Linked DNA regions of Caenorhabditis elegans. The protein of the gene in region 3 purifies or fractionates together with the protein of the main gene of each other region. This does not show direct contact. Each region holds a gene or a part of one and is shown on either strand. Other genes may lie near its edges. The genes, in order: ZK550.6, acs-14, osm-11 and nfu-1.

Evidence for each region.
Region 1: the proteins of osm-11 (region 3) and ZK550.6 fractionate together in Caenorhabditis elegans (co-fractionation; one large-scale study listed by BioGRID). This does not show direct contact.
Region 2: the proteins of osm-11 (region 3) and acs-14 fractionate together in Caenorhabditis elegans (co-fractionation; one large-scale study listed by BioGRID). This does not show direct contact.
Region 4: the proteins of osm-11 (region 3) and nfu-1 fractionate together in Caenorhabditis elegans (co-fractionation; one large-scale study listed by BioGRID). This does not show direct contact.

What each region holds. Positions count from the first base shown.
Region 1 is NC_003282.8:17,259,754-17,264,055, reverse strand, and holds ZK550.6 (putative phytanoyl-CoA dioxygenase), read left to right. Parts: upstream 1-1,570; 5' UTR 1,571-1,579; coding exon 1,580-1,726; intron 1,727-1,919; coding exon 1,920-2,169; intron 2,170-2,189; exon of another isoform or gene 2,190-2,210; intron 2,211-2,487; exon of another isoform or gene 2,488-2,511; intron 2,512-2,555; coding exon 2,556-2,737; intron 2,738-3,010; coding exon 3,011-3,149; intron 3,150-3,446; coding exon 3,447-3,667; 3' UTR 3,668-3,749; downstream 3,750-4,302. UniProt on the Caenorhabditis elegans protein: Converts phytanoyl-CoA to 2-hydroxyphytanoyl-CoA.
Region 2 is NC_003283.11:9,506,128-9,510,922, reverse strand, and holds acs-14 (4-coumarate--CoA ligase), read right to left. Parts: upstream 2,792-4,795; 5' UTR 2,790-2,791; coding exon 2,580-2,789; intron 2,464-2,579; coding exon 2,352-2,463; intron 2,299-2,351; coding exon 1,971-2,298; intron 1,738-1,970; coding exon 1,542-1,737; intron 1,494-1,541; coding exon 1,215-1,493; intron 1,140-1,214; coding exon 752-1,139; intron 706-751; coding exon 584-705; 3' UTR 545-583; downstream 1-544. Other genes in the region: haao-1 (3-hydroxyanthranilate 3,4-dioxygenase), read right to left, coding at 3,940-3,994, 4,040-4,125, 4,174-4,288, 4,340-4,454, 4,497-4,727.
Region 3 is NC_003284.9:17,419,648-17,423,005, forward strand, and holds osm-11 (Notch ligand osm-11), read right to left. Parts: upstream 1,822-3,358; 5' UTR 1,761-1,821; coding exon 1,709-1,760; intron 1,627-1,708; coding exon 1,109-1,626; 3' UTR 564-1,108; downstream 1-563. UniProt on the Caenorhabditis elegans protein: Probable secreted lin-12/Notch ligand or co-ligand involved in the mediation of Notch signaling. Involved in the lin-12/Notch pathway signaling of cell fate in vulval precursor cells (VPCs), acting redundantly with dsl-1 and lag-2.
Region 4 is NC_003282.8:10,385,671-10,388,893, forward strand, and holds nfu-1 (NFU1 iron-sulfur cluster scaffold homolog, mitochondrial), read left to right. Parts: upstream 1-1,742; 5' UTR 1,743-1,746; coding exon 1,747-1,798; intron 1,799-1,841; coding exon 1,842-1,904; intron 1,905-1,950; coding exon 1,951-2,029; intron 2,030-2,093; coding exon 2,094-2,583; 3' UTR 2,584-2,681; downstream 2,682-3,223. Other genes in the region: Ankyrin repeat and KH domain-containing protein mask-1, read left to right, coding at 1-305, 357-533, 602-930, 976-1,072; R10H10.3 (CUB domain-containing protein), read left to right, coding at 2,850-2,927.

The DNA.
Region 1 (4,302 bases), on a different chromosome or scaffold from region 3:
AGGGAACGTGCCAAATTTGAAAAATGTGTGTTTCTCAATCTCTAATCATTTATCATATGGTCATGACAACAACTGGTGTCAAGGTGTACGATAACGGTACACTGTGGCAATTGACACTCTTTTTTTCTTTATTTCTCTATTCAACAAGACTTGTATTTATTAAGAAAATGCAATGAGAGAGCGTGGTGATAAGACGGGTAATTCCCTCGCTTTTCTCATTTTTTGCGGTGTTGTGTTCGTGTCATTTGAGATAATCCATGTTGATTCCACTTTTATTGTTGATTTGATAGATGTTCCAAGTTTTTACTGCTTCCTGAAAGCATAATTCTTAAAAATAATGCTTCATAGCAGTTGTGGCTTCATACAATTTTCAAAAAAAAATTCACTGTTTCAAAAAAATTGAATTCAATTTCCTGCATTATGACGTACGTGTTAAAAAAATATGTTCACCTAAAAATTCCGCTCGAACTGTCGCGAAATCTGTGTTTCAGTGAAATAAAATAAAAACATCTAGACAAAATACAGTTCTCCTCAAAAATTGCTGTTTCAAAATAATAATTTAAAAAAAAACACCAAAGTGTCGTATTTAAATTTAAAAAAAAACTATCGTTTCAACAAAACAGGTTCAAATCTATTTTAGTATTAAAATCTATAACTTTATAAAATTTGCTATTTAGGTTTTACGAATTGTTGTTTTTTACTCTGAATTGTAAAATTACCGTTTCAAATATATTCTTCTAAATTCAAAAATTTAGTATACAATTTTTCTAGAAACATTGAAGTATTACCAGGAATTTTTGGATATTTCCTATAAATTCTATTTTGATCAATTTGTAGTTGTCTTATCATATATTGCATTGGATGATAATAGGAAATGATCCGATTCTCTTTCCTGTTCCAAAACTAGGTAAATGTACCTCATATATTTTGTTAATTTTGTAGTCACAATAACATGTTATGATAATAATATCGATAAAAAATATCGTGATGTTTAAACATTAAGTTTCATTTTTTTCGGTACTGTTCTAATTGTTCAAAACAATTTAAAAAATTTCGGTCAATTTATAGACAATACCGATTTTAATAATGAATGTAAAATTTTCACTGTTTCACTAATTTTATAACAATTTTCATTCCTTCCAATTCACATTGTGTTAGTGTAGTGATCATTACTTATATATTTTAAAAAAATAGGGTGTTAGTTTTTTCCGTTTGTCTGTTTGTTTCCGTGACGTCACAACGCATGAGACCCATTTTGGCGCAAATTCAAATTTCTTCAGAAAAATTTTGGTGCAAACTCAAATTTCTTCAGAAAAATTTTAGCGGGAATTCAAATTTCTTCTGAAAATTTTGGTGGGATTTCAAATTTGTTCAGAAAAATTTTGGTGCAAATTCAAATTTCTTCAGAAATATTTTGGTGGTTTTTTCTTCCGCGCCGGAGGCGCGATCAGCAGCTAGTTTTCAAATAAATTTACTGTTTCAAAAATACGATATTTTTTGCCTAATTTTTGAGAATATCACTATGACGTCTAAACGTAAAGCGATTCCATAATCTACTTCAAAATTCCAGGCTCCCCAAATGCTTGGCAAAGGTGTCGTTGATTATACCCGGGAAGGGTCAATTTTGAGTGCCGAGCAGAGGCGATTCTACGAGAAAAATGGATATCTGTTGATTCGAAACTGTGTTCCACAGTACGAATTGAACAGGTTCCGACAAAGATTTCAGGTGAGCAAATGCGCCCGGCTGCATAATTTTTGACTATAGGCTGGGATTAATAGTCCACAAAAATTGATGGGGCCTAAAGTTTCAGTTTTATTTCGACAATTTTTAATTTTGCGTCGAAGTATTTTTCAACCTGACTGCAACGAATTTTTTTACAAAGTTGTGACGTCACAATTTTCTAAAAATGTATTTTCAGGACATTTGCGAGAAAAAAGTAAAAGCTCCAGAAAACATGACCGTCATGAAAGACATTTCCATCGCAAAATCCGAATTCAAAGACGGTGAGAAGGCGATCACCAAGATCCAGGATTTTGCAGATGATCCAGTTCTTTTTGAGTACTGTAAGTATCCGGGAGTTGTCGATGTGGTGAAGGACTTGATTGGAAATCCAAAGTCGAATTTGATGGCAATGCATACAATGCTTATCAATAAACCACCAGATAATGGTAAGTTTTGAACTTTAAATTGTATTAGGATTTACTAGAAAATGTTAATTAAAATAAGACACGTTAAATAAAAAAGTTTGAAACAAATTTTTTTTTGATAATTATGAAACATGTCCAAAATTATCTTAAATTGTTATTTGTTTTGCCAAACCACACTCCTAACTGTAAAAAAATTGAAGAACGTAAAATATCTTGAATAGTCTATAAAGAGTTGTGAAAATTCGAAAATCAGTAATTCAAAAAAATTTTGAAAAAAATTCAAAATTTTCTACTGTTTCAAAATCGGTTCAAAAAATGAAAGTATTTTGAGAAGTTTACTGCTTATATCGTTCACAGAACAAAATTACAGAACATTTAATAATCAAGTTCTAATTATCATATTTAAGGAAAACTAACATCCCGGCACCCAATGCACCAAGATCTTCAATATTTCCCATTCCGTCCAGCAGATTTTATTTGTTGTGCTTGGACCGCAATGGAGAAGATCACAAGAGCAAATGGATGTCTGGTTGTTGTTCCCGGAACTCATAAAGGTGTTCTTTTGCCACACGAGTACCCGAAATGGGAGGTAAGTCCGCTAAGCTGAGTTTTGGTTTGGTTTGGTTTTGGCAGAGCTATTTACCACGTTGAATTCTTGTTTGAAAACTTGAAATTAAGTAATTTGAGAAAATTTGAGAAAAAAACAGCTAAACGAGCGAGCTAATATTTGACAGAGAAAAAGCCTAAGCTTGAGCCCGAGCTTAAGCGTAAGTCTAAGCTTCAGGATTACCCGAAGACTAGGTTTAAGCTTGCGCATAAGTCCACGTCTGAAGTTCGCTCTCAAAAAGTTCCTTATTTTCAGGGTGGTGTGAACAAAGCCTATCACGGAATCCAGGACTATGACACGTCGACGCCACGTATCCACGTGGAAATGGAACCCGGAGATACCGTATTCTTTCATCCAATTCTTATTCATGGTTCCGGAGCCAATAGAACTGAAGGTAACCATTTTTGAAACTTTGGAAAAAATTAAACAAGAAATTACTGTTTCAATGCTTTGATATAAAAACTATGAATCTCACAATTGTCGGTAAACTCTTCTAAAAAAGATATTTTTGCTTCTAACACAAATTTTCCCATCCTTTCGTTACTGTTTCAATGTTTTTATACAAAAAATGAAAATTCGCAGTAAATACTAATTTATTTTTAAAAGTTCAAATTCTTCTTAAATTGAGAACTCCCAGCTACAAAAATGCGTTGGACACGGGAGTTTCGGTGCAAAACAAAATTTTTTTCAGGATTCCGCAAAGCGATCTCCTGTCACTACGCAAATGACGACCTCTGCCGTTATGTAAACGTCGAGGGTACAACTCAAGAGACATTGGCAGAGGAGATCATCGAAATCGCCAAGAAGCGTCTGACAAGATATGGTCTCGACCCGAATACTGTAACCTTGGATTTCGCGGACATTTGGAGGGTTCGCGCCAGAGAGGTCAATGGGCGCAGATCTAATTTGTGATTTTTATGTTTAAAACTGTGAAATCGATCAGAGTTTGTCGATAATTTTTGTAATGTATTTCAGTTAATAAATTAACATTTTGAAAGCGAGTTTTTTCTTGAATTTTTGAAAAAAAAACAAATCATAAATACGTGAACAATTTCGTCAAAACATTTTTTTGCACAATTTTTTTCCCACTAACTTTGATAATATTGCTACATTGAATTCCAAATGAGTACTAAAAATAAGCGAGACTTGGGCAGAAGCTCAGAACTCAGAACTATTTAAACGAGAATTAATTACAGAAATGCGTTAAAATATTTATTTGTTTTGATGTCAGATATTAGTTTATTGAATTTATAAAACTTTCAGAAAAAAAAGACGTAAAAAACCAGTTTTCACTTATCCGTATTTTGGATGTCGACCAAAAAAAAAATAGCTACGAGTTTCACGTTTTGATTGTAATTTCTGGAATGTTCTAGGACATTTTGACGAATTCCAGAAAATTTTGAATTGTTCTAGGACCTCCTAAAAATTGAGAAGTTGAAAAATTTTAGAAAATTTTGGAACGCTCTATAATCTGCTGGAAACTTTGACAAAATTATGGAATGCTCTAAATCAGTTTAAAAACTCGATAGAACACTGTATTCTGGAAT
Region 2 (4,795 bases), on a different chromosome or scaffold from region 3:
TTCACAATATCTAAGCTATACCTTTGAGCAATCTGTACATATTCAGCTGTTCACTTACTAGTAAAAGTCATGAATAAAACTATTTGCATAAGGGCAATTTATTTTCACATGAACATATTTTTTTCCATTCCCATGTTCCGATAGTCAACTTCATATTCTCAACCAACTATTCCCATTTTCCTCTTCTGCTATTTCAACCATCAATGATTTTTCCTGTATTTCTTCTAGTTTCCATTATTTTTCCACTCATCTTCTGCCAATGCCGTGATCTTCATCCAAACTGTGATTTGTTCAAAACTCTTGATCTTTGTACATCAGTTAGTTCTCAAAAAGCAATCATGAAATACAATTGTGCGTCTTCTTGTGGATTTTGTGGAAAGCAAGCCGGAAGTTGTGTGGATCGTTTGTCAAACTGTGCCGATTATAAATCTTCAGGACTTTGTGAAACTGATGATAAGCTACGTATTGAATATGCTTGCCCAGTTACTTGTAATGTTTGTTCTACTCCTGTATAATCATTCAATTACTTTGAGAAAAAACCATGAAAAATTAATATCAATAAAGTTAATGTACAAAAAAACATTTAAAGCTTGGCTGAAGAACGATCTCTCAAGAATCGTCTCAAAATCTTTCCAGCTGCGGACTTTGGAATTTCTTCAATAAATTCGACACCACCTTCGAGTTGTTTGTAAGGAGACACTTTTGCTGAAAGTATTATAGTTATACAGAAAATGCACTATTCATAACTTACGTTTAACAAAGTCCTTAACTTCTTGTTCAGTGAGAGTGTTATCAGCTCTTACAACAAATGCTTTAGGTAATTCTCCAGCTTTAGCATCTGGGATTCCAATAACTGCACAATCTCTAATCTTTGGATGAGATAGAAGAAGATCTTCAAGTTCAGCTGGTGGTACTTGAAGCCCTTTGACCTTGATTAGCTCTTTAAGTCGATCAACAATAAACAAATTTCCATCCTCATTGAGATAACCAATGTCTCCAGTGTGAAGCCATCCATCGATGACAGTGCTGGCTGTTGCTTCTGGTCTTCCGAGATACCCAAGCATAATTGTTGGACCACGAACACAAATTTCTCCTCGTTGGTTAACCGGTTGCTCTCTGTCGGTTCCTGGTTCCACAATCTGAATAACTTTTGTATAAATTGAATACTTTTGTTTCCTTTTAAACATTGAAAAACTTGATTCGGAAATTCTCACCTTCATAACCAAATTTGAAGCAAGTTTTCCAACGGATCCATATGGTTGATCATTTCTTAAATCAGGAAGATGACTAGCCATTGAACATTCCGTCATTCCATATCCTTGTTGGATGTATTTCAAATTTGTATACTTCCTCTTCAATTCTTCAATCAAATCCTTTCCAGCTGGAGCTGCTCCCGCCATTATCATTTGCACTGATGATAGATCAAACTTATCGCAAATTGGATGCTTGGCCAAGAAAACCATAATTGGTGGAACTAGGCAAAGACAGCGGACCTAAAGAATTAAATTAAAAATGTTATTTATGAACTTTTGATTCTATACTTTGTAGTTTTGAACGGCAGTCAAAAAATTATTCGGCTCAAAATGGCTCATGACAATTCCAGTCATTCCCTTGAGAAGACAGTGATTAAGAAGACCAAATCCATAGACATGATAGAATGGAAGAAACAAGAGAGCTTTCTCATTGTAGCAGTCCCAATTTGGATCAAGAACATCCAAAATGTGTGATTTATCAATTCTGAAAGTTGTGTCGTATATGAACCTAATTATATTTTCGTTTTTTTTCAATTACTTTTCAAAAAATGTACATAACGTTATACTGATTCTTCTGTATTGATCTATGAAATTGTTTTCTTGGCCCTTATCTTTTTTTGCGTCATAGGAAGGTTAAAGTGTAACCATTTTACTGTTAACTTTGTACTTTCACACCTATTCTGTCTCATCATCATCATCTTTAAATTTCAAACTTACGCAAGATACATGGAGATCATGGATGTAAAATTGTAGTGTGATAGCATAACACCCTTTGGTGGTCCAGTGGTACCACTCGAGTATGGAAGAACGAGTAAATCATTGTGAACATCAATTGGAACTTGTGGTAGAGCAGTGACTGGAGTTGAAACCACTTCATTCCAAGATACAACTCCTGCTGGAAGAGAAGATCCAACTGGTTTTGGGATGACAATGATCTTTTGGATGTTTGGCGATTGCTTCACAGCAAGAAGAACTTTTGGAAGAAAATCTTCGTAAGTAAAAACAACCTTTGCGCGAGAATCAACAAATTGACGTTGAAGCTCATCTGAAAACAGAAATTGCGGGTTGGTGAAAGTAACTTTCATCAATTTAACTTACAGTCAGTGAAAAGTGCACTAGCTCCAGATACAGCTCCACCGTTGATGGCACATCCAATGAAAAATGAAGTATAGTGCCAGACGTTTGGAAGAACAACAGCAGCAACATCTTTCTAAAAGATATCAAAAATTTAAGGCATTGTCTTGAACAAATTGAAAGATTTTTGAAATACTTCCTTTCTCTTGTTGAATTATAAAATTCCCAAATTTTTAACATAATGCCACATACCTTGAACCCAATGCTATGAAGATACATAGCGACAGCAAAAGCATCCTTACGAAGTTGTTCAAAAGTAATGAAATGTTTTGGATTATCTCCGCTCACAAATGCAATTTTATTCTTTCCATCGGCAATTGTTTTATCAATTGCATCAAGGAGCATCTCATGGTACGGACGCTCGGAAATCTTCACTGGTGGATATGTAGAGTCGTGTGGCATGGCTGAAGTTTGAAAAATAAATGAATTTAGCAATAACAATCAAAATATAAGAACTGGGCAAGAGGACAGCATGGGTAGCCTACAGTGTGGCCGAAGGTCAATTTAGAAAAAGATAGAGACTGATAAAGACGACAGTTGATAATAGTAAATAGGAAAACTACAGTGCTTAGACGTTATAATGTGGTCCATTTATTGTAGTCTTTGTTTTTTGGCAATTTATAACATTGATTCAACTGTTGAGGAAAAACCGTTAGAAAATTAAAAAAAAAACCACATGAGCGCGGGAAATACTTATCATTTCAGTTTCCGATGCTCATAATCCTAGACAATTTCAGTTAATACTCAATGAAGACAACGAAAGAAAAAGAATAAATGTACACAAAAAGGGCATATTAATGATAAGGGTTGCAAAACGAAAAATGGGCTATGAACAATAAAATAAAAGATCTGTAATCGTAATCAGATGTTTTTAAAGATCTGAAACTTGGATTGTACGTCATTGATCATATTAAAAAGATGCTCAAAACAAGGAAGTACTGGCCAAATTTCAACAATCAAAGTTCTCGTGACGATTTGACAGTAAAAAATGAGGTATTGTGAACATTTTCTAAATTATAGTTTTTTTCCAACCGAGAAGTTATTTTAAGTTATTATTTTCAATCTTCCCCATCAAATTTAAAAACAACCCCTTTGAAAATTACGGCTAAAAGGCATTTATTATTTTTCTGCTAAAAAATTTTCGGAATGAGTTAACGTTTTTTTTTCTAATGAAATAGAAATCATACTAAAAATAGTTATGTAAACTAACTACAAAACAAAAATTGGATTCTTTGTATTTTTAACCAATTTTACAGTTTTTACAGTGACATAATTTCCTGAAACGAACAACGAGGTCTGAAAGTACAAATTTTCTGAAGCTTTGAAGAACATGATGGTTTTGCTGAACCGACAGCGTGTGTTACACGAGACATTTGACATCGATGATAATGAAACGGAATTGATGTTATCAGTTGGCCACGATTGCATGTCATTCATTTTGTTATAAATCAAAATTGAAATTACATTTTGGAATAAAGATAGAAATATTGAAAAAAGCATTCATTCAATCAGCCTATATGGAAATTGACTTTTACAAAATTGAAAAAAAAAATTATGCTGGCATTCTGATGGTGATAGCAAATCCTCCTTTGACATTAAGAAGACACCTAAAACAAAATTATTTCAAAGAACCTATAATTCCGTATTCTTACTTTGTGTTCGGTTTTATCCTAACCATGGTCTCCGATTTCATTGCATAAGTGAACCCGCTCTCTTCTACGACCGCAAATGTGTTTTCCTAAATGATACATGAATTTTTTTTGGGATTTTTCTGTTTTTGCCATACCTGCAACCAAATTAGCAACTCTACAGTTCCACTTTCCAAATCATAAGATCCCTCTCCTAGCAACATAACTTCAGTTTTGTACTCAGGTGCTCCATAAATTCTCACTGGTCCGTTTCTGAAAACTTCTCAAATTAACTATCCGAAACAAAACCAACTAATTTCTTACTTCACTTCACTGATATGATCATAGATAAATTCTTTTCTATTAATAGGTACGGGTAAATCAGTCCATCTTGCTTCGTATGGAGCATTGCATGCAAATGTTCCTTTTCCTGGTTTACCTGAAACAAAAAATCGGTGAGCTCACACAACTACAAACCAACCAGTTTTGAATTCATTCGATCCATAAAATTCTTTGATTAATGGAGGTAAATCCTTGACAACATCAGTCAAATAGAACCATCTTTCAAAGAGTGTGATATTGGAAGAACCAACAAGAAATCGAACACAATCAAATTCAGTATTCTTTCGTTCACGTTCAACGACAAGACCAATAGAGTTGGAAAATCTTTGAGGTGAATGTTCTACTCTTGCTGGCAACATGAACATTTCCCCTGAAAAATAGAGAGCTCAATTTTGAGTTTTGATTCAGATTATCTAACATTTGTGAAAAAAATAATTC
Region 3 (3,358 bases):
AAAAACCGTTTACTCGACAGAAAGAAAATGATAGCTTGTTATTGTAGTATTCTAGTAATCACAACACAATAAAGACCAACTTTCAAAAGTTAGAACCCATACCACACCGCCACACCTTGTTTCCCTGCAAAAAGTCATTGTTTGTGCTGTGAAGTTGTTGACATATTCGAAAGGAGAACATGTTGTTTGAGGAGAAAAAGAAGAAGATACGACAATGATAATACTTCTCTCTGACACTGTCTTCAAAGAGCGAGCCATTTATCAAAAGAAACTTCATCACCGAATCTCGTTCTATCGTAATCATACATCAGAAGCCCACGGTGTAGACGGCGATGGTGGTGACAGGAGAAGAAGGAAGAGGAAGAACGGAGAAGAAGACGCGACGTCGAAAGACGATTTTTGTTAAGCGTTTGATCGTACGACACTCTCAGATAGTCTATTTTCGGAGAAGACAAAGATGTATTGCTTTCTTCTTTTTTCCTTCTTTAGAAGATTGTTACTGTATCTGTTTTAAACCATGTTTAACTATTTTTGCATTGTCAATGAAAAGAACAAGAAGATATGAAAGAGAAGAGTCGTCTTTATTAAACGTTATCAACTGAATTCCTTAATCAGAAAATCAAGCACTGGGCCAAACGTTTTTCAGGGGAGGGTACACAGTACTGAGACAAATCATTTACGGATCAGGTAAATTCAGGATTGAAGCACAAAAGAGCACATAAGCGGAGGTATGGACGAAATTAATCAGTTATCCAGCGATACTTTCCATCCAATTCGCTGCGATAACTGATTAACCAGTTATCTAGCTATTTTAGCTATTTTTTAATAAGCTTTCGAAAAATGTACACGATTCAAGATATCGAGATCTTAAATAGCTTAGCGAATCGGTAGGAGGGGCCAAAAAGAGAAAAAAAAATAAAAAATTAAATAATTGCACTAGGGTGCGAGCTCATAGAAAACAATTAGAGGGAAATTTGGGGGAGGAGTGAGAAAAGAAAAAAAACAAATGTTAAAAGTAGGTAGGTCCCACCTAGGCAAAAACGATTGCATGTCTTAAAGGCCCCCTATAGAGGAACGGCTTTGCTATTTACAATATTAACAACAACGCTTAATACTGCACTGGAGTGAACATGGTGCACTTGGAGTACCAACGTTGGCAAGTCTCGGCCATGGCAGCGGAAGATGGTGGGTTGCACATTTGATGGACCTTTGGATGAGTGTGGGCGCACTTGCACTCGTCGGTGCAGTGAGCGGCGGTGCATTCTGGAGTGCAGGTGGCTACGATGGCGGCGGTGAGACGGGTGGTCTGTGGAGCGGTTCTTGAGGAGTGGATGTGGGCTGGCTTGCGCTCATCGGCGATTGGCAAATCGAGGCTGGCAAAGTCGGATCCTCTTGGAAGGACTGGTGGCATAACGAGTGGTGAGCCGAGGTCTGGAAGCTCGACGAGTCCGGCCTTTCCAACGGCACAGTGCTTTTCGTAGGCTGGGCAGAACTTGGCAACCTTTCCAAAGAGAGCACGGTCAATTGGTCCAGCGTTGTCTCCACAGTATTTGTTGTAGTGGTCAAGATGCTTGATGCAATAACGTTCGGACATCTCCTCATTGCGACGAACACGGGCAGGGTTGGCTGAAAATACAAAGAATGATGTAATTGTCTAATATCTTTGAAAGTTATCGAATGTTCTCTATAGTTTTGTAAATGTGCTCACCTTGTGCCAAGACCATAACGATAGCGAGAGCGGCGACGGTAATAAAGTTCATTTTTGGAAACGGTGTTTTTTTGAGATTCAATTGCTTGATCTCGCAAGTCGAAACTGCGTACTGCCTATCTGAAATCGGCGCCTTTTATGCGTTCGCGTGAACTCCGCCCCACAATACCGCCCTTCCTTGTCTGTGAGAGTCGTCGGAAGCGGCGCGGGGCGCGCGTCCCGCCCCCTAGGAACTTTGAAGATTGCCTCGCGGTGGGGAGAAGGACGCCGAATAAACTGATTGTTCTAAAAATATCATCAGGGCCGAAGGAGGGAAAGAAGGATTGAAGTATCGGCGACTAACGGAATTGAGAAATAGCAGCACCGGTGTAGAGGGTTTCGTGGTTTTCGGCGGATGATGGATGGGATCTCTAATGATCGCCCTGTGGTTAGAGTGATGGAGAAGCCAGTGTCGCACACAGTTTTCTGAAGATGAGAAGATAGTGGTCGAAAAATGATAATGATGATGATGATGATGTGAGGAAAGATGTATAAGACATCCGATGGGGGTACGTCGAGGTCGTCGATGTGTTTCGATCTTCAGCTACTACGCCGTTATCATGTACCCTGCACAGCGTCGGACACAAACATCTCCGTGGTGCGCGTAAACTCGACGACGACTCGTGATGGACGTCTAAAAAGGGATATGGGAGACAGAAATAATGCACCCGTTCTTTACGTGTTATCACTGCTTTAGAAATAAACTATTTTTAGTGTTTCCCTCGTTGTACGCAATCTTTATTCTTCACTTCACCATTTCATTACTTCATCATGCGGAACACAGACTACTGCTACACAAAAAAGTTATAGTCGTCACGTTTCTTAAACCTTTTTTTTTACTTTTTGATGGTTTTTGTTTTAGCGACTGACCAAAACAATCTTGCGGTCAAGGCTTTTTCAGTGTAAGTACGTTATGATAAGCTAGGAACAATGAAGTTTGGGAATTGAATGAGTTAATCATTCGACGAAGAATTATTTCGTAGTTGAACTATGTGTGGCTTCTAGCATAACGTCATTTCAAAAGAGTTATAGATGACGATTACTGTCAGATGTTCTTTACTCAAAGCTTTATTTTGTAACACCGTGTTTACCAAACCACTACTTTCAATTAAGCAAACATCCGTGCAACTGTCTTTCTTTTTCATTTCCATATCCTATTCAATAATACCGTAACAACTTCCTTGGCAAGAAACAGTTCTTTGATTCAGGTTTTTACTGTCCGGAATTAGCTGCCCAACTTGAGACATGAGACCAGAGACAAATGTTTTCTCCAAGTTAGAATTCGAAACACAGAAAAACTGTATTTTTCCCCTGTTACCCTAAAAAACATGCCCTTTGCTCCTTCCCTGTCATTCATTCATCAAGGCACTTCTAGAAACAACGTCTTGTTTCTCTTTTCGTGTGATGGATTGTGTACGACCTCCAACACCTTCCGTATCTCCTGACTTTTAATGGTTGAGGTTGCGTCTAAATTTGGAACAACTTTGAACATTTTGAGTGACATCTTTTGAATTTGATTCTAGATAAGCTTTTGATTTTTTTTTCATTTCTATCTTGACACTCTTGTTCTCCTTTCTGTCATCACGGTGTACATAGGAGAAAGCATGAGAA
Region 4 (3,223 bases), on a different chromosome or scaffold from region 3:
AACCACCCCTGTTTGCAAGATCTCAATCGAATTCTGTTGCTAATAGCACTTCCACGAATATTCAACAGCAACAACAACAGCAAATTCAACACCTTCAACAGCAGCAAGCACTACAACAACAACAGCAAAGGATTCAGCAATTCCAGCAACAATACCAACAGCATCAGTCTCAAAGTTCTCAGCAACCAAGTGACTTGATGTCTTCAAAGTTTTCAATGCTACAATCACAACAACAGCAGCAGCAACTTTACAATCAGATGCAGTCGCTAGGTCAAGATGGACAGGGATCCAATCTGTATAACCATGTAGGGATCCGTGATTTATGTCTGAAAATACGTTATTTGATTTATTTGCAGCTTGCCGCCCAATTATTGACTCATCAAGAGAGTTCTACAGGAGCACCTGGTCCAACAAGTAGTCAACTTGCAAATAGCTACTATCCATCACCTTCGTATACGGATGCCAGTGTTTTAGGGCAAATTAGCATGCCGTCATTGTCACAGAGAGGAATAAAGCAATTTGATGGATTTAATGTAAGTTTAGGACAAATTTGATGTTAAGATAGCAGGATCAGTTTAAAAATTAATGAATGGAAATTTAGAATGACTCTGATGGCGTTATTGCTGCTATTCTCGAGCAACAACAACAACAGAAGAAACAAGGACTCGCACAACAATCGTTCATGCATAACTCTCAACAGCCACAGCCGTTCGGAGCTCCCAGCAACGCTTCTGCAAATCAATCGCGACTCGGAATGATCCAACCTCGGCCCCAACCGCCACCATTTGTTGCTCCACAAGCTCCACCTGGATTCTCTTCTCTTGGAAATGCATCTTCCACGACGAACCCATCTCGAACTTCTATGCAGCAAATGTATCAGCAATACGGACAGAGTTCACAGCAACAGCCTTACGGTCAGATGCCTCAAGCGTAAGTTCTACGATTTCTAATTAAATATTTGTTTATTTATTACAGAATGGATTGGAACCGACTTGGACAGCAACAGCAGTCTGCATCTGGCCAACAAAATCATCAGTCATCCTCGTCAAATAAATGGTCTTCCAACTGGTAGATATCGCTCACAAAATCGTCTTCTTGTCAATTAGTCCCCCCTCCCCTCATAATAATTCGGTGTTTACTTGTTTTTTATTCAACCGTGAAACAATATGTCTTCCCGGTTGAATTGCATCCATTTTTCTTTATTTCGTCTCCTCGTTCCGGGTTTTGTAACACTTTTTCTTCATTTTAAATCTAGCCTTTTTTGGTCCATTTTTTCTTTCAACTCTCAAATGTTCGATCTTTCCCATCCCTAGCAAGTGTTTTCTTGCGAGCTCAGCCTTGTGGAAATTGTACTCTTCTGTCCAAATTATTCCCGTTTACCCATTTTTTGTTCTTTTTATATCTCCCCCGACATACTACTTCTTTTTTTTCGGTTATTTTTCAAGTCTTCCAACACAACACATATGTATTTGAGACGGATGTCAAATGGTCCCAACTTTTTCTTCCCTTTATTGAAAAGTGTGTCTTATTTTTCACTTTTGATGTTTTACTCGTTGTTTCATATGAAACCTGGGCATTTATTTCATTGCTAATTAATTATGACTTTCTTCGCTTTATGTTGATCCATGAATCGTGATTCTTGAAAGTATACAGGTTAGGCTATTGAAATGTACAACTCGAGGTTTTGATTCCTATATCTTGAGAATTAAGTCGGTAGATGTTGAAAGAACAAAAATTTTCAGAAAAATGATTTCATCAAAAATGCTCACAAGACTGAACCGGAGCTTTGTACAAGCAGGTGATACTGGTTCCAGAAATTCTTTCATTTTTTAAAATTTCAGCTCGATCAATGTATATTCAAGTTCAGGAGACACCTAATCCACTTTCTTTAAAATTTTTACCTGGTTAGTGGAAACTTCACTGTTTAAAATCTGAAATGTAGTATTTCAGGTCAACAGCTTCTCCCAGACGCCTCGAAAACATACGATTTCAGCTCAGCGGCTACAGCAAAACAAAGTCCACTTGCTATGTAAGGAATATTCCAAATTTTAACTACCATTCAGATAAAATAGTATTTATTTGTAAATTTTCAGAAAACTTCTTCGAGTCGACGGAGTGAAGCGTGTGTTCTTCGGAGAAGATTTTGTAACTGTCACGAAATCAGATGAGACTGTTGACTGGGCTCTCCTCCGTCCGGAAATCTTCTCAACAATTGCTGATCACATTCAAACCGGAAAACCTGTCATAAATGAAGCTGCAACTGTTTCCGACCAAGTGGAAGAAGATGATGAAGTTGTAATGATGATCAAAGAAATTCTAGAGACACGTATCAGACCAATGGTACAAGAAGATGGTGGAGATATCACTTATGTTGGTTTTGACGATGGTGTTGTCAAATTGAAGATGCAAGGTTCATGCACAGGATGTCCAAGCTCTGGAGTCACTTTAAAAAATGGAATTGAGAATATGCTCACATTCTACGTGCCTGAAGTGAAGGAAGTTATCGAAGTTAAGGATGAATCCGATGATCTTGTGGAACAAGAGTTGAAGAAATTTGAGCAATCAAAAGGAATCAAAGACTAATTGATAATTGATTCGTGTATAACTAGATTTGTTTTTATTAGTGTTTGCTGCTAGAGATAAATGTTCAATGAATATTTATAAAAACTTTTTTATTACTTTGAAAGTCGTATTAGTAGAATTGGTTTATGACTCTGAAATCATCGAATCACGTCAAAGTTCAACGGCCCAGTCCAAATCAGTGATATCAGTTAAAAGACTTATCACCCGGAAAAGTGGAAAATTGTGCTTCGTAAATTGATAAGAAATCAGTCAGAGTGCTGCTCAAAATGTTGAAACAAATTCTTCTCGTCGCTATTATTTTAAATTTAGGAGTATCTGCGTATAAGAAGAAAAGCTTGATTCATGTTAGTTTTTTTTTCAAGTTTTTGAATTTTCAATGTTATCCAGACGCGGAATTTTGCTATTTTTGCGGCTGGTTCGGTTTCTGAACGACATCATTTTAATAAATGCGGAAGGTACGCGCCTTTAAAGTGAACTGTATATCCAAACTTTATTTGCTGCGGTCAATTCTTCATAGTTTTTCGAGAAAAATATGTTTTTTTATTTATTAAACAAACTACATTTTGAAATCAAAATACAAAAATCTTCAGAAAAACATGAGACAACAACTTTTGCATTTATCAAAATTTTATCGTGACGA